Caenorhabditis elegans: one gene and its partners. The protein of the gene in region 1 interacts with the protein of each later gene in a pairwise test. Each region holds a gene or a part of one and is shown on either strand. Other genes may lie near its edges.

Evidence for each region.
Region 2: the proteins of ubc-9 (region 1) and rad-51 interact in a two-hybrid assay, tested with the Caenorhabditis elegans proteins (2 studies listed by BioGRID).
Region 3: the proteins of ubc-9 (region 1) and lin-1 interact in a two-hybrid assay, tested with the Caenorhabditis elegans proteins (one study listed by BioGRID).
Region 4: the proteins of ubc-9 (region 1) and tbx-2 interact in a two-hybrid assay, tested with the Caenorhabditis elegans proteins (2 studies listed by BioGRID).

The regions. Positions count from the first base shown.
Region 1 is NC_003282.8:4,649,369-4,652,979, reverse strand, and holds ubc-9 (SUMO-conjugating enzyme UBC9), read right to left. Parts: upstream 1,937-3,611; 5' UTR 1,922-1,936; coding exon 1,868-1,921; intron 1,743-1,867; coding exon 1,620-1,742; intron 1,486-1,619; coding exon 1,395-1,485; intron 1,350-1,394; coding exon 1,196-1,349; intron 1,140-1,195; coding exon 1,061-1,139; 3' UTR 533-1,060; downstream 1-532. Other genes in the region: F29B9.5 (Thioredoxin domain-containing protein), read right to left, coding at 1-71, 126-271, 326-391, 441-521; F29B9.7 (Pheromone-regulated membrane protein 10), read right to left, coding at 2,377-2,440, 2,488-2,601, 2,703-2,786, 2,836-2,913, 2,980-3,126, 3,176-3,216; F29B9.8 (Serpentine Receptor, class T), read right to left, coding at 3,484-3,611. UniProt on the Caenorhabditis elegans protein: Accepts the ubiquitin-like protein smo-1 from the aos-1-uba-2 E1 complex and catalyzes its covalent attachment to other proteins with the help of an E3 ligase such as gei-17.
Region 2 is NC_003282.8:10,281,098-10,285,782, reverse strand, and holds rad-51 (DNA repair protein RAD51 homolog), read left to right. Parts: upstream 1-1,538; coding exon 1,539-1,563; intron 1,564-1,647; coding exon 1,648-1,727; intron 1,728-1,768; coding exon 1,769-2,050; intron 2,051-2,286; coding exon 2,287-2,433; intron 2,434-2,487; coding exon 2,488-2,645; intron 2,646-3,131; coding exon 3,132-3,223; intron 3,224-3,272; coding exon 3,273-3,549; intron 3,550-3,680; coding exon 3,681-3,807; 3' UTR 3,808-4,149; downstream 4,150-4,685. Other genes in the region: thk-1 (Thymidine kinase), read left to right, coding at 4,216-4,242.
Region 3 is NC_003282.8:2,297,264-2,302,016, reverse strand, and holds the start of lin-1 (ETS domain-containing protein), read left to right. Parts: upstream 1-1,730; coding exon 1,731-1,754; intron 1,755-1,799; coding exon 1,800-1,887; intron 1,888-4,753.
Region 4 is NC_003281.10:5,130,421-5,138,169, reverse strand, and holds tbx-2 (T-box protein 2), read left to right. Parts: upstream 1-1,850; 5' UTR 1,851-1,993; coding exon 1,994-2,256; intron 2,257-4,155; coding exon 4,156-4,346; intron 4,347-4,591; coding exon 4,592-4,668; intron 4,669-5,462; coding exon 5,463-5,609; intron 5,610-6,239; coding exon 6,240-6,833; 3' UTR 6,834-7,247; downstream 7,248-7,749. Other genes in the region: Y54H5A.2 (Protein HGH1 homolog), read left to right, coding at 1-77, 461-718; sax-2 (MOR2-PAG1_N domain-containing protein), read right to left, coding at 7,627-7,749. UniProt on the Caenorhabditis elegans protein: Involved in the transcriptional regulation of genes required for the development of pharyngeal muscles derived from the ABa lineage.

The DNA of each region.
Region 1 (3,611 bases):
CCATCTTGCCGGCTGCGTTGATCACTCGGAGCACTGGGATCGTCTTGATCTCGAACTTTGATTGATATCGTCTGAAAATTATGATTTATTTTTGAGACTCTGAAATTAAAAATGATAAATCTCACGTCAAAATGTCGTCTCCATACTTGACGCAGAGCCAATCGCCGTGCTTCTCGGTGAAGTTCTCTTCAAGATCAGCCTTTGATCTATCACGAGAGAAGAAAACCACTTCGATGGGCTTTCCAGCCTTCTTCAGATGATGGTAGAAGCGCTGAAGGGTGTGGAAACTCATTGGAAAATCGGAAAATCTAGATTCAGCACTCACAACTAGCTTCGGAGTGAACTGCTTACACGGTGGACACCATCCCGCGGAAAAATAAAGAGCAACAACCTAAATGTCATATTCTAAAATCTTTCACTACACACTAATATTTCGCCACCTTGCCCTTCAGAGCTTCTTCGGCAGGAACTTCAGTCAAGTCTTGCTTCAGAAGCATCACACCTTTCATGAATTCGGACATTGTTGGAGAATCTGACATGAACAGTTCATGGTTGAGTTGCAAAATACAAATAAGTTGAGGGAAAAAAAATATAATCAAGTCCATTTAGAAAATTGGAATACACGGGATTTGTCAACAATTAAATTGTGCTCCTGATTTTAAGAGAATTGGGGGGAAGAGAAAAGAGATGGAAAACAGAACGGGATAAAAAGAAAGATGAAGATCAAAATGAGTAAGAATGATGAGGAATAGTCTTTTGAAAGAATAAAGACTACTCAGCCCATGGACCAGTGGAAAATGATTGGGTTTGCGTGCACACGAAATTTGGAAAAAGTCATCGAAATGTTCTAGCTCTCGAATTTCATCAACCACGAAATGAAAAACCAGGCACGACAAAGCTTTTGGTTAGATTGAAATAAAAGATATCAGAAAAGTTGCTTCGGTGCTCGAATTTCGAGTTGTGTCAACAATCGTTGCCGCATACAGAAATAGTTAACTAAATGAAATGAGGATGGGAGGAAAAAGGAGAATAGAATAGACGACTACCACGAAGCAAGCATCTACTCGAGCATTTGCTTCTGGACGAGTTCGGCAGCATACTTCACAGCTTCCTTCTTCACTCGCTTCTCATATTCAGCCCTGTAATAAATTCATTTGTGTATTTTTTTTATAATATTCAGATAAAAAAAACTCACCTATTCTGACAGTAGATCTGATAGGCTTCAGCCTGAGCTGGATCTTCAATATTTGGATGGTTCAGCAAATCTTGAATTCCAATGAGAAGTTGCTTGATTGAGATTGACGGCTTCCAATCCTTGTTTTCATCCAGAAGAGATAAGCACACGGTACCTGAATTCAATTAATTAATTATAACTATTGGACTGCAATAATAACCTGATGGGTACACATTTGGATGGAAGAGTGGTGGCTCGAACTTGCACTTTGGTGGCGTTGACGGGAAATCGTCCTTGAAGAGCATCCGAATCTGAAAGAAAATTGAATTAGATTTATAAATATCGTTGTATTCCAAATAGCAGTTTTTGAGAGAAACAGTTCACGAATATTATAGCTCAATAAATTAACGAAAAATGATAATTTCCGAATTCTAGCTTCACATACTCTGTATAATCCGCCTTCCCAAATCGTATCCTTTCTCCCTGGGATTGCACATTCCCAATTGAAGAGGTTCAATGTTCCGTCGGCGTTCTTGACTGGTTTGGCAATGAATCCGAATGGATGATCCTGAAAATGTTGAGTTTTGGGCATGAAAACAAACTATTTTTCGATAATTTTTAGAATTTAACCGATTTAAAGCGGTTTTGTAATACAAATCGCCCCGACTTGCCATGTAATGATAAAATTCTCACCTTTCGCCAGTGTTTCCTTTCTTCCGCGAGGCGTCCTGCAGCAATTCCCGACATTTTTGTTCGGTTACACTGAAAAATATCAAATTTGTAAAAGAGAAGTGGACAGTGAAGTTTTAGGCACAACGAGAAAAGAAGAGAGAGGTAAACAAACGAAACAGCGTGTTCGTGACACTTGTCAGAACTATTTTAGATTTTTCAAACAGAAATCCGATCGATAAGAAAGAGAAATTTCTCGAAAAAGTTCAAAAATAGGATATCGCGCCAAAAAACGAAAAGGGGGGCGAGCACCGCCCGTATTATCGATCAATAAATTGCATAGTGCGGCGCGCGATTTCGCAATGGTGTCGCACACGAAAACTAATTTCGACAGAATGCAACAGAAAATTACAAAACGGTTCGCAGTTTTCGCGCGCACACAAAAGAATATTCAAGAAAATTATAAATTCGAAGGGCGCGAAATTCAAATAATATTTATTCGCGGCAAAATGTGTGAGAATGAGAGTGCCCAGTCAGTCATCCTTCTTCAAAACCTCTCCTTCCTTGCGCTCTTTCGTCGGCGAACGACTTCCGGGGCTGCAAAAATGATAACGTTTTCAAAAAATAAAAAACTTTTTTCTCACTCATCAGGCGTTCTCTCCATGTCCGGATTGTTCGAAGGTCCCGTGCATCCATAATAGTACGGCTTGTATCTTCCTCCGAACAACCAGTCCATGTCGTATAACGGAATGTATTCTCTGAATTAGAAAGTTGGAAATTTAATTATTTTAAGTGTCAAAATATATGCCTATATATAGGATATATATACAATAGGTGATTTTCTAGAATTCAGATGTACCTGTGATCTCTCATAACGGTCGAATAGTTGATTGTTGCTTTCAGATTTGGACTCAAAAGTCCACCGTATATCCTATTCCATTCTCTAGAAAATGTTCCAATTAGATCTATTTTTCTTGATGAACAAAGCCAACCTAGTTACTAGAATGATCACCAAAGAGAGAGTAGAACCGAAAAATGGAAAACTACGAACTAGAATTGAAGCTGCGAATCTGGAATAAAATTTTATTTTGGTTTTCCATTATTGTTTAATTGTAGAAAATAGCTAGTGAGCTCACAGAGAACAAATCGCAGAGCTCAAGAAAAGCAACGATGACAAAAACAATTGATTAGGTGGTTCGTCTGTTGCTGTACTCTTTGTAGTTGACTCACTACCATCAAGCAATTCCGTAGTGTAATCAGCCATATTTGTATGCACAAATTTGCTTCAAAGAGTCAAAAATTTAAATTTATAAATAAAAATTAAAAACTCACTTGTCTTCCGGAAACTCTATAACACCACTTTTCGAACTCATCGTAAAAATAAGAATGATTTAAATTTGAAAAAAATTTATTCATTTTTTAATTGTAAGGCAAGGCACATATGGAACGTGTAAAACGTGTACTATTTATCACAATTTCTGAGAGAGCGATATTTCCGATTTGAAAAAAAACAAAACAAAGAAAAAACGAAGGAGCACCGGGCTTCTGAGGGGGCGCCCAATGGCACAGGGGTTTAGAATTATGGCGCAAAAAAGAAGAGTTGGAAGCAATAATTACAGAAAAAAAATAAAAGATCGTTCCTAATGTCTTCTACAACACGGGAAGAAGAATTTGACAAAACGACGGCGGTATGGGTTGAGGAGGATCAGAGCCAGAATTAGGAAGATAAAGGGTCTGAGCAAGAAGAAGGTCAGATGAAGTGGGAACA
Region 2 (4,685 bases), 5.6 Mb from region 1:
GTCGCAATTAGCAATATATTGCTAGAATGTTGGTGGTCCCGCAGCGAGATTAGCGATTTGCAAATTGCATCTAAAATACTGGTGGCCATAAGTATTTTATAACGGCGAATCACCTGTGTCATAGCCTTTCTAAATTATTTGCACTTTCATCATAATTTTTTTTCTTGCGATTCTCTCCATTTTCCGTTCAATGAACGATTTAATACGCATGTTCAATAATAATAAAATTTATCCGAGAGGAGTACAGAAGAAAATTAACATCGCTGCGAGACCAATCGCTACAGTACTCAATGTCGATTTACGGAGGAAACATGTTTTGATTTCTCATTGTTTCTTTTGTCATTTTTTGTCATTTTAGTTTTAAAACTTAATTATCCTCTAATGATTTGCGCGGTTTTTTATTAAATTTTTGATTATTCTCGTAGCTTTTGAGTTAAACTAATTAAAAGTCTTCAGCTATGCTAAATTTTGCTTCCTTTTCTTGAATGAAAACCTAAAATGAACAAAATTTTTTGTCATTAAATAACAACGCTTCGGTTAACGCTTGAAATTGATATTCGGAAAATAAAAAGCCTGATTTTTGTTCGATTTCTGAAATATATTTCATGCTTTACCCGTTTTTAATTGCGAACAATTCTAAATTTGAAATATAATTTTCAATCAACGAAAAACAATTTTCAAGATAAAAAATTATTATATAAATTTAAGCTAAGTATTAATAAATTAATAAGTAATAGTATTCAAAAATCATAGAATCTTGCAAGAAAAAATGTTTTAAAGATTTAATAGTTCGAGTGATTGAAAAACGAATAGTACTTTAAAAAATAATGCTTTAAGGCAGAAAAGTGATATAAAAATTAAGCTCAAAAGGGCAAAAGATAAGGTTAATGTCCAGTTTTGGTTTTAAAATGGTTCGGACACAATGTACATAGTAGACATTTGGGTGTCCTCTTCCTTCTCTTTTCCCCATTGCGTCCACTGACCCTCCTTGCTGTATGTCTGCGCATCGTCTTTTTCTACACTTTTTCCTTTTCCCTGGCCCGTTCCTATCGGTGCCTTTCACACACGCGAGCGGCAGTGGACGAGACGGGAGGGCGAGGTGTTGAACAAGAGTACAGCAAGTGCGCGCCATCGAAAAAGCGGAAAAAAAAATTTCAAATGGCGCTACTTTGAAAATTGAGAATTCTGTATTTACTGCCAGTTTTACTTGCATTTAAATTTCCATGTTTTCTATTCTAAAACGAAAATCTATCTAAGAAAACCCTTAATAAAAACCTATAAATCATAAATTGTGATTCTTAAATTCGAAAATATGTTCGTTCAACTTGACGCCTAGAAATATGTGGACTTAATCCTGTTATAAATCAGTAGTTGACGACAAAAATAGTAGAGCAGCAAAAGCAGTTCTAACTTGTGAAAAACATGAAAGTTCTTGTTTTCGTCAAGCGAACGGGGGCTCGAGGAAGGACTTGGCACGTGTCTCTAGGCCATGTTTTTCTCAATTTTTGTTGCTCTAGAGAAAGCTTTTGCTATTGATTATGGGACAATCTTGGGGATATGAAGGTAACATTTTAAAAATAAGTTTAGGTAAATGTGTAGCATAATTTTTGAAAAAAAAAGCTCCACTGTTAAAAATGCCGATTTTAGGGATTGCGAAACGTTCACTATGTACACATAAATGGCTATATAATTTGAATTTGCATTCAATAAATCTTTTCCTTCCAATTGTATGTTTTAACTTAAAAATAATTAATTAAAATTATCTCAGGAGTCAAAAATGTCAGCTCAAGCAAGTCGTCAAAAGAAATCGGATCAAGAGCAGCGTGCAGCTGATCAAGCTTTGCTCAATGCAGCAATCGAGGATAATGCGATGGAGCAAGATGAAAACTTCACAGTTATCGATAAACTTGAGTCTTCAGGAATCAGTTCTGGCGATATTTCAAAACTAAAAGAAGCTGGATACTATACATACGAATCGCTGGCATTTACTACAAGACGCGAACTCCGAAATGTCAAAGGAATTAGTGATCAGAAAGCTGAAAAGATAATGGTGAGCATATCAAAAAATCAGCTTATTCGAGAATTAAAGAAAAAAACTAAAAATTCTGTGGCTTTATTTTTCAAAATCCAATTAATTGAATTGAAAGTATCAGAAAAGTTGATACATTTTTCGAGGTTAGCTCCGAAAAAGAATGAAACGATCAGCTGCAAGGTCAGTTTTGACGGCAAATCGACCAGCTGTGAACATGTAGACATCGGCCTCATATTTCAATGATTTAATTTCAGAAAGAAGCCATGAAATTCGTGCAGATGGGATTCACGACGGGAGCCGAGGTTCATGTGAAGCGAAGCCAGCTGGTGCAGATCAGAACTGGATCTGCTTCACTTGACAGACTGTTGGGTGGCGGTATCGAAACAGGCAGTATCACTGAGGTGAGTTTATCACGGATAAACTGACAACAGTACTCAATAAAACATTTATTTCAGGTTTACGGAGAATATAGAACAGGAAAAACTCAGCTTTGCCACAGTCTGGCAGTCTTGTGTCAATTGCCGATTGATATGGGAGGTGGTGAGGGAAAATGTATGTATATTGATACCAATGCCACTTTTCGACCCGAACGAATTATTGCTATCGCTCAGAGGTTTGTGATTGAGAATTATTCTTAAAAATCCTGAATTTGTCATAATTTGATCTCCCGACTTGAAAATTTAAAAAAAAATTAAAATTTATTTCGAGAAATCAGTAACATATTTTCTCAGTCTGAAAATAGCTGTTATTTTTGCTTGAACAATTGAAAAGGCCAAAAATGGTCTGCAAGTTGGAAATTGCCGTAAATGAACTTTCAGAGATGTTCCGGGTCTTTTTTTGGCGAATTTCAACTTGCAGGCAATTTTTTAGCCTTTTCCTTATTGTTTCAACAAATATAAGTTTTTTTTTTCAGATAAAGTAAATATTTCTCTATATTCTATCACTAAGTTTGAAATAAAAACGTTTGGAGAACAAGTCGCAATGGCTCATTTTGTACAATTACTGGTTTACGCCACATGGCTTGAATTTTGGCATTTGAGAATTTACCTTATTATGGATCTTGTAGCATTTTTTTGAATATCGAAGTAATTTCTTGCAGATACAATATGGACAGTGCTCATGTACTCGAGAATATCGCTGTTGCACGTGCATACAACTCAGAACATTTGATGGCTTTGATTATTCGAGCAGGTAAATCTAAATTTCAAAAAATAAAAAAATAAACTTTTTCGTGCCATAGGAGCAATGATGTCCGAGAGTCGTTATGCTGTTGTGATTGTTGACTGTGCAACTGCTCATTTCCGTAACGAATACACTGGAAGAGGAGATCTAGCGGAACGTCAGATGAAGCTCTCTGCTTTTCTGAAATGCCTTGCCAAGCTTGCCGATGAATATGGTGTCGCTGTAATTATTACCAATCAAGTTGTAGCACAAGTCGACGGAGGAGCCTCGATGTTCCAGGCTGATGCTAAAAAGCCCATTGGAGGTCACATCATCGCTCACATGTCTACTACCAGGTAAACATAGTTGGAGGTTTTCTGAAGATTTTGAACAAATAGAGAACATATTTAATTTTTTTATTAAACATTACATGTGGTCTTTTTGAGGATTTTTTAAAGAAGAAAAATTAAGTTATTCATATTTTCAGATTGTACCTTCGAAAAGGAAAAGGAGAGAATCGCGTCGCAAAAATGGTTCAATCACCCAATTTACCAGAAGCCGAAGCGACCTACTCAATCACGAATCATGGTATTGAGGACGCACGCGAGGACTAGCCGTTCGTTTTTCTTTTTCTTATCAAACTTCATCATTCATATCCCGATAAATATATCACATTTCTGTTTCTCTCCACACTTTCACGGATTCATCATGTTTATTTGGGTCGTTTTTAAATCTAGCGTTCTATGTTCTCTATGAAAAGTTTTCGCCTGCCCCTCATGTTTCACTATTCCGTTACATTCCTTTTTTGTATCTGTATTATATATAGGTTTGTGCATCTCTCTCTCTCTCTTTTGTTTTACCCGTCGTTTTGTATGAATCGTATAGTTGAACTGATTATGTCAGTATTGATAAGCTAATGTTCTTTTTAATTTATAAAGGTTTTCGAAACCTTTAATACTGTATTTTAAAAATGCGTGTTCATCATGTTAACCTAGCAATAATTCCAGATCCAACTAACTGAAATGGACATTGAAGCGGCCAAGAATGAGGTAAGATGATTATCTCTAATTTGCCTATTCGCAAAATGTGGAGTGGAATTTTTGCTTTGTAAAATTCCGGCAACAACAAAAAACCTTGAAAATTGCCTGAAAATACCCAACTGTCCGTACTTATGCTCTCAAAAGCGATTCTTATTATGCAATACCGACGGTCACAGCACATTTGCTGAACAGCTGTGTGACCCTTGCCTGTTGTCATCGTCTCATTCAAATTACTCAACATGATCTTGCCCTCTTTTGATCTTTACTATTCTTATTTAGGTTTTGAAATTTATTGTTAATATTTGTACGTCAGAGATGACTAATTGGCTCCTGATAAGAAAGTTCACTTATTTATGATATACTAGTTTATTTTTAACTGTATATCGTGTTGAGCCAAAAATTTATTTTCTGATTCTACATTTTCCGCTTTAGTATGGTAGATCGAGACATTT
Region 3 (4,753 bases), 2.4 Mb from region 1:
GTGCAATACTAATTTTCAGAACATTTTTCTGACTTTGAGCTTACTAGTTTTTTTCTGAAAAAGCTCGAATCTTATGTAAAAATTCAGAAAATTTGCTTTTAATTGTAACATATATAATAAGTTCAAAAACTTCAATCTCGTAGAAATGTTGTGAAAAACTGTTGCAAAATAGGCAAATTTTTTTGTTGAAATCCTGAAGTTAACAAGACGGGCCTGCAATAAAAAAGAGTAAACGCAAGGCTATTAGGGAGTGCAAGACTAATAGGGAGTGCCATACTAATTTTCGGAAGGTCTCCGAGGGGCAATACTAATAGGGAGTGCAAGTCTAATAGGGAGGCCATATTAATAGAAGATATACGGTATGTGAAAAACAATTTTTTAGTTGGCAATTTTCTGATAAAACCAATGTCAATCAAGATGTCAACTGATAAAGTTGCATAGGCTGCCAAAGTGGGTTCATTTGAGGTTCAATTGATGCACCATGTCGTTCCTTCTTGGACAGCCTATATCTCTATTTATTTTAATGCTAGTAATTTTAAAATGAGAAAATTATAGAAAAATATTTGAAAAATGTTTTGTTAGTTGTCAATTTCAAATAAAATCAAAAGACAACCAAGATATGAGCTGTCAAAGTTATGCAGTTAAATCCTCCTCACTTTAGAAGCTCTAATTTCAGTTGATTTTAAAAATATCAAAATATAGTAAACTAGAAAACTATAAAAAAATATGTGACAAACATTTTGTCAGTTGACAATTTTCTGATAAAACCAATGACAACCGAAATATAAACTGGTAAAGTTGAAGTTTTTTTTCGATGCACCATGTTCGTTTAATATGATGATTTTCTAATTTTCCAAAATAGTTATATATTGGCAAGTGGAAAAAAATTTGGTTTGTTTTAAATTGATTAATAATGTTAATTGCATAATTGTACAATATTTTGTCAGTTGACAAAAACAACCAAGTTTTCAAAGTTAAGTCTCGAGCAAGTTTCGGTTTCCTACGTTGTTTGGCGGGTTTTCAAAGAGTTTTTTGGGCAATTTCAGACAATTTTGAGCTATTTTGAAGTAAGAAGACATACAAAAACATTGCAGGTATTATAAAATAATTATCAAATAGCTAAAAAAAAATTCTTCATTACACTTAAACAACTTTTGAGCAGACCAACTTTTGTGATTTCCAATATATGATTTTACTTTTAAAAAAAATCTAAGACTAAACCATTTCCCTCAACTTTTAAATTATTCTAACATTAAACCTCTCCTCTTCCGTTTAAAATCGTATTAGCCAAGGGAATTAGGCCTTTGAAACTAAAACTTTTCCCTTGTGTCTTGTGTCACAACGCATTAAAATTTGAAGATATTAATAATTGTCCCACTTTCCACATACTTCATTCTTTTTTTATGAATTGTACAGTAGGCCTTTATGCCTGCCTGGTGCCTAGAGTAGGCATAAGGTAGGCATGAGATCGTAAAGTGACAGCAAGTTTTGCTCATATCTTAAAATTATCGTGTTTTTATAATGTAGATTCAATTCAACAATAAGTGAGCAAAAAGTGTTGTAAATTTCCGCATTTTACAGCCCCCCTCCCGTCCCTTGTTATCTATAGAGTCACTGAAAATAGTAGCCAGCTCGTCACTCATTGCCACGTCATCTTTCATCAGCCGCCGCCACCCCGTACCATTTTCCAGGTCAAAAGAAAGCGCCGACACTCTACAGTTTACACGAAAATGAATCACATTGACCTTTTGAAGGTTTGTCCACTGACTTCATGACTCCTAAATAGTATTCTTTTGCAGGTCAAAAAAGAGCCGCCGTCGAGTTCGGAAGAAGCCGAGGAAGAAGAATCTCCGAAACATACGATTGAGGGAATTTTGGATATAAGAAGTTAGTTTATTTTTTATAGTATTTGGAGCAAAACACACTTGCTACTAAAAGCAAATGTGCTCAATGAAGTTTGGCTCAAAATTGCTGATAGTGATTTTTATTTTGAATGAAAAATTTCACATTTTTCGGCAATTTGCTTATTGTGATTTGAACAGTCGAAATGTGAAATGAAAAATTAGGGGACATGGTGCATTGATTGGGCAACTTTGGCAGTTTATATTTCGGTTAATGTTTAAGATACGAAAAAATATGTAACTACAAAGTTATAGAACAACATATGAAATTTGTTTTGTTAGTTAAAAGTTTTTTGATAGAACCAAAGATAGCCAAGGAAAGTGGTGACAAAGTTATGCACCATGTTTGAACCTCTACACTTTAGGAGCACATATTTCGGTTCATTTTTAAAATATCAACATATAGTAAAATACAAAACTATAGAAAAATATGTGAAAAACAATTTTTTAGTTGACAATTTTCTGATAAAACCAATGTCAATCAAGATATCAACTGATAAAGTTGCATAAGCTGCCAAAGTGGGTTCATTTGAGGTTAATTTGTTGGACAGCCTATATCTCTATTTATTTTAATGCTAGTAATTTTAAAATGAAAAAATTATAGCAAAATATTTGAAAAATGTTTTGTTAGTTGACAATTTCAAATAAAATCAAAAGACAACCAAGATATGAGCTGATGCACCATGTTAAATCCTCCTCACTTTAGAAGCTCTAATTTCAGTTGATTTTAAAAATATCAAAATATAGTAAACTAGAAAACTTTAAAAAAATATGTGACAAACATTTTGTCAGTTGACAATTTTCTGATAAAACCAATGACAACCGAGTCAATGACAATGACAATGACAATGACAACTGGTAAAGTTGAAAGGATGTTCGAACAATATGATACTTTTCTACTATAGTGGCAAGTGGAGCTATTGGCACATTCTCAAAATATTTTACTAACTAGTCTAGTAGAACAAGTTTCAAACCAATTTGTTCTTCCTGCCAGACGGCTGAATAAACCGTAACGACCATGCTCTTCCACCTGTCGGTTGATGCTCAACTACTGATTCCTCTCCCTGCCACTTTTTTCTCTTTTTTTCTGAATTTAGTTTTGGTTTTTGCGGGTAAAATCCGATAAGAATTGATGAATGTGTGTCGCTTTGGGTAGAGCAGCTAATCCGTATTTGGTTTTAATGATGATTTGATGATTTAGTATGGTGTTTCTTTTTTCTCAAGTTTTTGAGTAGAATTTTCAAGAAATTTGTGAGAAAAATGACTTAAATTTTGCCAAAACATAGGGTATTTTTTAAAACTTTGAGCAGAATTTTCAAAAAAAATAACACGATAAAATTCAATTCTAAAATAATTGTCAAGACGAAATTTTCGGTATAAATCCAACTCCCTCTATACATATTTCCGCCTCACAGTACCGCAGGTCCCCCATTTTTGTTTGATTTCTACCGCATTTTCACACCCAATCACTTTTGTATATATATACATACGACATATGGTGTCAATTAATAAGTCGGAGGGGAGGGTGTGTGTTTGATACGTTTATATATTTAGATACTTCTTGTTGAAGAGTCAAGTTAAATCAAACCACATGACAATGTTTAGAGCTTTAAAGGTTCATAACTGGAACTATTGTTTTTATATCCATTTGCAAAACGTTACATTAAACACATGGCTGGAATAAAATACAACCTTTTGTCTTTACTATGCCACAGAGTCTGTAATAGTGTCCTCCAATAATTTAATGCATTTTTACGTGCTTTGCAATTTTTCTGAAAGTATCTTCAAATGGGTGAAAATCACTCATTTTGATATTCTTCTATACCTTTGAATTTTCTTGATATATATGCTTTACTGTTACCCCTAAAACCATCCCAACTAGCATCTGTTCTTCACTATTTACGGGTCTCTTGTCTTCCTTATCTGTTGTTATTGTTGTTGTGCTCTTTCGGAGCAGCTGAAGTTGCGGATTAAAGTCATCTGCGACCAAAATTGACGGATCGGAATATATGGCCGACAAAGAAGAGGTGCTTGAATGGGGTGAAGTGGGGGTCCTAAAAAGATCAGTCATCCGGAATGTTTTTAGGGTAGTATCATATGAAAAACCCCTCTACTCAATTCATATTAAATATTTTGTCAGCCCCTGAAACCTCTTTATCCAACAAGAAAACCGTACTAATGATAGGTTATATCGGAAAGATGTGGAAGGGTGGAACATAAATATTATTGCGTCTTCACGGATTTTTGTGAGATCATCATTTTGGAGATAACCAGGGGGGAAGGTCATCAAAAGGTGCGACTGATAGGCATCTGGTAGTGCATGATTCAGTTTTAGTAGTGTATTTGCTTTTTTTTGAGGACATGAGAAAAATTTAGGAAATTTTTGAACCCACCTTGAGAATTTTGGAATAACTGCTGTAGCCTCTCCTAGGGCTTCCACCAGGGGTGTGCGGCAAATCTCAAAATTTGCCGAGCTCGGTAAATTCGGCAAATCTCTTTTTTCAATATTTGCCGAGCACGGCAAATTCGGCAAATTCGGCAAATTCGGCAAATTCGGCAAATTCGCCGTGCTTAACAAACTCGGAAAAATTTGATATTTTTTTTATGTTTTTTGGAGCACCAAAACTACTGAATTCTTAACACACATCTGGTTTCTGAATAAGTTCCGCGTAGTATGTCTGTTTAAGCATCAAAATAGCTCAATTTTGTATCATTTTACTAAATTTTTGGCTAAAAAATCAATAGTTTTAGTCAAAATTGTACTGTCAAATTTTTGACGTGTGCGGCAAATTCGGCAAATTCGGCAAATCTACTTTTTTGAAATTTGCCGTGCTCGGCAAATTCGGCAAATT
Region 4 (7,749 bases), on another chromosome or scaffold:
TTCGTTTACAATATTATGAGAAGGAACGAGATAGCAGTGATATTGTGCGCCAAAAGCTGATTGAAGCTCTATTCCAGGTAAAAATCAGAATTAAGTCTTCACAAGTGTAGTTCCAAGTAAAGCATATCCCCGTTCCTAAATCGCTTGAAGATTCTTATGACGACGAAGACGTCGATAGGCGTTAAATCAGAAACAGGAGCGGGTGCGCGGGGCGCCAAAAAATTATCGACGCTTGATTAGTTTTTTGAATGAAAGCAGTTGACGCGGACGGACGGGCGACAGTCAATTGTTTTGTAATCTCGAGATGGTAATCGATCGCGAGAAAAAAATCGGCTGCTGTGCCTTAATTTGGGTGATCAAGCGGAAACTGCAAGTGATGACTAATTTAGTTCTCATGTTTAGGCGCCAAATTTGAGAAGTTAGCCTGAGGAAAAATCATAATAGATGTTCTTATTTCCAGCTATGTGCCACAAAACATGGACGTGAAGTGCTTCGAGCCAAAGGAGTCTATCCTGCAATGAGAGAACTTGACAAAGGAACTGAAACTGCTGAGGATAAGCACAAAAAGACACTGTTAAGCTCACAACAAGAGCACACTCTTCATGCATTAATTGGAATTCTTATTCGTTATGAATCTGAAATGGATGTCGATCCGGAACTCAGCTCAATTCGCGAACTTGGAACATCTGAAGTCACCGAGATAACTAAAACGTCTTGATTGTTCTCTTTTGAATTTCACATTTCATTTTGTCACTTGTTAATCAATTGTTAACCCATTTTGTTTGTTGATTGAAATTAATTTTCGAATTCCATCTTATCATCAATTCAGTGCTGCAAATGTGTGAACCACCGTGTAAGAGGTGGCAGTTTCAGTTTTTAAGTGATAAGAAGCCGCGAGAATGAAGTGAAATGAGAGTAGCCGATTCATTAGTTGTGTTTACGATTCAGAAATTGTTAAAAATTAGGAATTTGAGCACTTGAAGCCACCGGCGGAGAATTGTTTTTTATGGTAATTGCTTCAGGAAGAAGAAAATAATAAAACGGGGGTCCCGAGAAGAAAACGAAAAAAAAAACTTTGTGTGCTTTTTCTCTTATTTTATGGCTCCGGCGTTCGTTTCTATGGAAAATGTTTGAAGCCTTTGAACGACTTATTCTCAGAATAATATAATAAGTGAAAGTTCGCTCTATCGAATAGCATTTTTTCAACGAATCAGTAATAAGACACTATTTAAAGTCCTGAAGCGATGAATTTTCAGTATTGCTTTACAGTAAAATAATAAGCCAAATAGAATAATTTTTCGAAGCATGAGCAGTATTTTAAAGGCGCACGGATTTATTCAGATAAGTCTCACTACGAGGAAAAGTTTTTGGCAGGATATCGTATACGTTTTTTATGAATTTTACTTGATATTCGTCAAGATTTTCAGTTTATTTTTCGACAAATAAATATACAAATAATAATGAGCCACCATTAGATTTTTCGCGACGAGACCCATTAAAAAACCACGCGCCTTTAAGTTTACGTTTCAGAAAATTTCAGCCAACCATGTCTGCATGAAAAGTTTAAAAATAACAGAAACCTTTGAAAAGAAAGGACTCCTAACAAAAGATGGATTTTCCAATCAAACCATATTACCACGTGGCATCCATCCATGGACCATTCCCTTGTCCGCATCAACCCAACAGGAGCCGTGTGATCAGCCACACCCATGGCGTCAGTCCCGTCCTCCTCCTTGCCACCTAAGCCCCGCCCGCATTTCGGCTGGTCGGTATAGTGGTTTCCCCACGGGCCAATCGACACACAAGTGGGCGGAGCCGAGTCATAGAGCGGCAAAACGGACGACTACGGCGTGACTTCTTTCACTTTGACAAGGCCAGGCTATATACCCCTCAACGTCGTTGTGGGTGAAAACCACGTTTTTGGAGATTTTTCAATTTATCCCCGGAACAGTTTAAGCCGACGGTTTTTGTGTAAAGAAAAGATCATCATAAAATGGCATTCAATCCATTTGCACTTGGACGTCCTGATCTTTTGTTACCATTTATGGGAGCAGGAGTTGGTGGTCCTGGAGCCGGTGGTCCACCACCAAATTTGTTTTTTTCAATGCTTCAAGCTGGGTTTCCACCAGGACCTGTTGGATCACCACCTGAAGATGATGGGGTAACTGATGATCCGAAAGTTGAGCTTGATGAACGAGAATTATGGCAACAGTTTTCACAATGTGGAACTGAAATGGTCATTACTAAAAGTGGAAGGTTTGTTTTATTTAAGTTTTTTTTTCTAAATTCTTCTTGAAACTCTTTTTGTCTGCTTTGATTTTGAACTATATTTCCTCAGTCTCATAACTCCGTTGTCATTAATCTAGCTGAAAAGTTCTCAACTAAAAAATCCATACTGTTTTCTATATTTTTGTGGTTAACATTTTTCTGACAAAATAAGGAATAATAGAGATATGAGCTGTCAAAGTTAAAATCCCCATCACTTTACTTTGAGAGCTCATTCGGTTTATTGTAATCATCAAGTAATTAATTATAAATCTATAGAATGGAAAATAGAAAATAAATATTTTGACGGTGGAAATTTTTTGATTAACCTGAAAACAATTGAGATATAAGTTGATAAAGTCGAGCAGTTGGGGTGCAAGACTAGCAGGGAATTTAAAAATACAAAAAATACAAAAAATTTGAAATTATATTAAAATAATTATTATCAAATTAAATGCTATATTGTTCTGAAATTCAGTCAATTCCAAATTGATTATTATCATTCAAATTCAAAATTCAAAAACTTTAATATTTATTTTTCGTGTGCTCTCTCTTATCTTTTTCCTTGTTCTCCGTTCGATTCTGCATAGACTTTCTGGCGATTTTTAATCAGTTTTTATTTAATTTTTATTCTCTTGAAACGTTTCGAAATTGCTTCAGCTTTATTTCAAAGTCATATTTTTTATAACAGTTAGAACTTTATAACCTTTTTGGTCTTTGACATTTTTGAACTTAACAGCCTTTTGAAAAACCTATAGGATTTAAAGTCTCGAAATAGAAACTGAAAACTGAAAACAAATTGGTAGAAAAATATATCTAAGTTTAAAATGAAAAATAAACATATCTGGCTGATTGTCAAAAAGTTTTTCACAATACTTTTTCAAAACTCGCTGTCTTCTTTTATTATTATTTAATTAACTGTTCAAGTTTCAAGCTCAAACCGCCATAACTCGTGTAGTTATTTAATTTCTGCAATTTTTTAACTGCCACAGTACATGTTATAATATTCTCTAAATTTTGCTAGTTGGCAATTTTTCAATTAAGTCAATAACTCTAGAGATATATGCTCTTTTTTGAGCCCAGACATTTCTTTGTCCTTTCCCTTCAACGAAACTCCCAAAATTGTCAAATTTCACACCATCGGCGAGACAAAAGACACCCAAAATTCAATTTCCTACCGTAATCCTTGTCGATGCTCCGAGAGCAAGAAAAAGGCGTGAAAATGTTTATCACTGCTCGCCACTTTTTTCTCTCGCTTTTTTCACTTTCTAAACGATTTGAAAAGAGAGAGCACAACGGACTCTGCTGTGAAAATTGGAGAAAATGTGTGACAATTGTCGCGGAATTTTTGTTTGGAACCAAAATTTGTTAAATTTATTTTTTTCAATCAATCAAAAATTGAGATCCATCTGACTCTTTTAAGCTAGATATTTGCATTTCGGATAATTCAATTTCCATATATATTTGCCTCAGTTGGATATCGAATTTCAGTGAGAAAGGGTACGAATTATTATGCACAAAGCGAATCTAAATATGGGGGAATTGAAAAACTTCGAAAACCTTGAAAATATGAACATCCCTTAATAATCTGAGATACTAATTTAAAGGCACATACACGTCTTTTGGGTCTCGCCACGAACTACCGTATCCTTGTTTATATTTCCGCGCGAGACCTAAGAGGTGCTGTATTCTCCGAATCACTAATAATTTAAAACTGTGGGAAACTCAGTGTTTTGTTCAATTTTCCTATTGCTAAACTTTAACAGCTCACACAGCTTTGTCAAAAATTAGAAAAATAAACGAGTGTATTTTTTAATAGATGTAAAATTTTTTTCCTTCAAAGGAATCAGAAATGTGAATAAAACTTGAATATAATTTTAAAATTTCCAGACGGATATTCCCAGCATATCGAGTGAAAATCAGTGGTCTCGACAAGAAAAGTCAATATTTCGTGATGATGGATCTTGTTCCGGCTGATGAACACCGTTACAAGTTCAATAATAGTCGATGGATGATTGCTGGAAAAGCCGATCCCGAAATGCCAAAAACTTTGTATATTCATCCGGATTCTCCGTCAACTGGTAAGGGAATAGAAAATATTTTAAAAATTCCAACTTGTGCCAACTTGAGTTGTTTTTAGGTCAACTAGACAATTGCAAACTTAGTTTAATTGATAATTTAGAGTTAGAAAACCAGTTAATATTCTGAGCCTTCCAAGTAGGCATGCTCGCCTACCTACTGCCTTCACACTAGATAGGCGGTTGGAAGGTAGGCATGATAGTACAATAACCCGTTTCCCTTCAAGACCCAAACATTTTATTTTCAGGCGAGCATTGGATGTCAAAAGGCGCCAACTTTCACAAACTCAAACTCACAAATAATATATCGGATAAGCATGGATATGTGAGTTTTATTACTTTGTATGATCATGAAATCTACTAAACAAAAAGTCGTAAAAACTTCGTTTTTGGTGGTTTTTGCCATTCATAAATCCTCTTTGCACGAGAAAATCGGTGTCAAACTGGCAAAACTACAGTAATCCTTTTGGCCACCAATCATTTCATATTCGAGTGGGGGAGAAGGCTAAAGGGGATAAAACAAAGTGAATTTACCACCAAAAAAAGAGTCAAATTTCTCGGGACAAATATTCGAAGAATAGGGGAGATGAATAGCACGGCGGGAATATGCGAATTTGAGATTTTTTTTTCCAACGAATTTATGATGTGTTGACTGATTTTTGGAGAAGGAAATCGCTTTTTAAGGGATTTTCTGAAAGCCTGAATCAAGATTAAGCGTACATTGAAGCGCGTATTATAAGGTAGCAAAGCCCCTTGATTTACATTAGTCGTTAAAAATTTTCTTCCAATTAATGCAACTTTACAATGTCAGAACACATTAGGCCTTTTTTGATTTATAGTGCTCCATTACAATATCCTACTTTTCCGGAAGACGTCACTTTTTTCTTTGAAATTTCGACTTTTGACTCTAAGGGAGCCATCTCTTCTTATTCCAACGAAGAAGAGGCATCGAATTTCGCGTCAGATTTGCCGCTTTCTCGTACAGATTTGTCGGTTTCATATTGCACCAAAGATGCTTCTGAATTTCTGAATTTGCGTGTGCAATCTTGCAAAATTATTGGGAGGGAATGGAAAAATTTGGAATTTCAAAAATCAATCTATAGATTTTCATATTTTCAGACAATTCTCAACTCTATGCACAAGTATCAGCCACGTCTTCACGTAGTTCGGTGCGCGGATCGACACAATTTGATGTACAGTACCTTCCGAACTTTTGTGTTCCGTGAGACCGAATTCATCGCTGTTACGGCTTATCAAAACGAGAAGGTACGTGAAATCGCGCTCCAATGAAAACGTGAAACATTTCACACACTCTCATCTAATTCTACAGTAACCCAATTTATTAGTTCTTTTTTTTTTACTTTTTTTTTGCCGCTACCTCCTCCAGCCATCATTTTAATTCGCACCACACACACACCTACAGTAATGCGAATCATTTTTTGTGGAACTTCTAGTTTAGTATATTTGAAGCTATTTGAAAAATGAGGCGGAAATTGTAAAAAAGTAAATGTGATGAAAATATTCGCTGTACTTTGTGTGAATATCGATAGATCCGTATTTTCAATTTTTTGGAAGTTTTTTAAAGCAAAAACTGGAATCACAAATCTACCTAAACTTAATCAGTTCTGTATAACAGGGAATTCTATTCATTAAATTATTTGTTTCGTTAATGTGTTTTAAGTTCTTCTTGAAACTCAAATTGATATTTTTGGGGGTTCCCATGTCCTTTTTAAAGAAAAAAGAACTTTTTTGCTGAAATTTAACGATTTTTGAATAACAGTAAATAAAATGGAGAACCCGCCAATTTGTGTTTGCGCGTAGAATACAATGCATTTGGTCGATGTTCGCACAAAATTCTTGATCTTATAAAAACCAATTAAACAAACAATTTTGCAGGTGACGGAGCTGAAAATCGAAAACAATCCGTTTGCCAAAGGATTTCGGGATGCTGGAGCCGGGAAGCGTGAGAAAAAGCGACAACTTCACAGAATGAATGGAGATGCAACTCAAAGTCCACCCGGAAAAACCGCTTCACTACCCACACATTCACCACATCCATCAGAATCCAATTCAGAAGATGATGAGCCAACATTGAAGAAATGTAAACCCGAACCATCACAAACTCCAACAACATCAAGCCTTTCCACATCAACAACTCCAACATTATCAGCTCATCATCCGTTACGATCTCCCCAATTCTGCATTCCACCGCCAATTGATATGATGTATCAGAATATGCCAATGGATTTACTTGCACATTGGCAAATGGCAACACTCTTCCCACAATTCTCAATGGCTCTTAATTCACCTGCAGCTGCTGCTTCATTACTCTCCAAACATTTGGCAAAAGCTTCATCGGAATGTAAAGTCGAAGCAACTTCTGAAGATTCTGAAGAAGCTGAAAAGCCTGAAGTGAAGAAAGAGCAAAAGTCAGTGACACCACCCAAAAAGGGAGGTTTTGATGTTCTCGATTTGTTGTCAAAGCCTTAATTTGATACTTTTCATCTTATTTTTCAATTTTTTTTAAAGAACGAGCTTTTTAACGGTGTGAAATTTATCTAAATGTATCACCGAATTTGTTACAGTTTCTGCCATAACGATCTTCTCTGAAAATGACTCTCTTTTTTGTTCAAGTCTCCACTCTCTCTCTCTCTCTCTCTCTCTCTCTCTTTCCAAGCGGGCATAATATTTTTGTTTCTTTACAAAAAATCCCTCAAAATAGTCAATAGAATTTCAACTTTTTCTGGTCCTCAACTATTTATAGCTTTTAGACATTTATTCATCTTCAAATTTTCCTTTTTCTCTCTCAATCTTCTTATTGTACATTTTCGCGTCCCCAGTGATTGTACGATTTTCTTTTATCTGTTTTGAGCCTAGTGACATTAATAAATAATCAATACTTGTATCATTTTGTAAATTGTAGTCTGTAGTCTGCGCGCCCGGCACAGGCCGATGCTTGCGATGATTAACTCACACCCTGTTCCCAGGGCTGAAGGTTTTACGATTGAGTGGCGTTTAGCAGAAAATTGATTTTTTCGCTTTTCTAAAATTATAATTCAAAGATTTTGGAGTTTCCAAAAATAAAAAAGTTAGCCTTTTTCCTTTCTCGCCCGGATTACTGTAATTGTCTGGAAAGAGAACTGTAGAATTGCTGTATGACACATGAACTTTATTTGGTTTTTACAATTCTTGGCTTGATTTAAAAATACAGAAAATAATTATAAAACGTAAAGCAAATTGGTGTTTTTGGAATGTAGTATATTTACAACGCAATTCCACTAATTTAATCATAATGATCTGATGAGGAAGGCAATTGTGCGAATGATTCGGTCATTGACGCTGATCCCATTGAAGGTGTCATTCTCTCCATATTTTGAAGACTTTGAGCATTTCTTCTCAAACATGA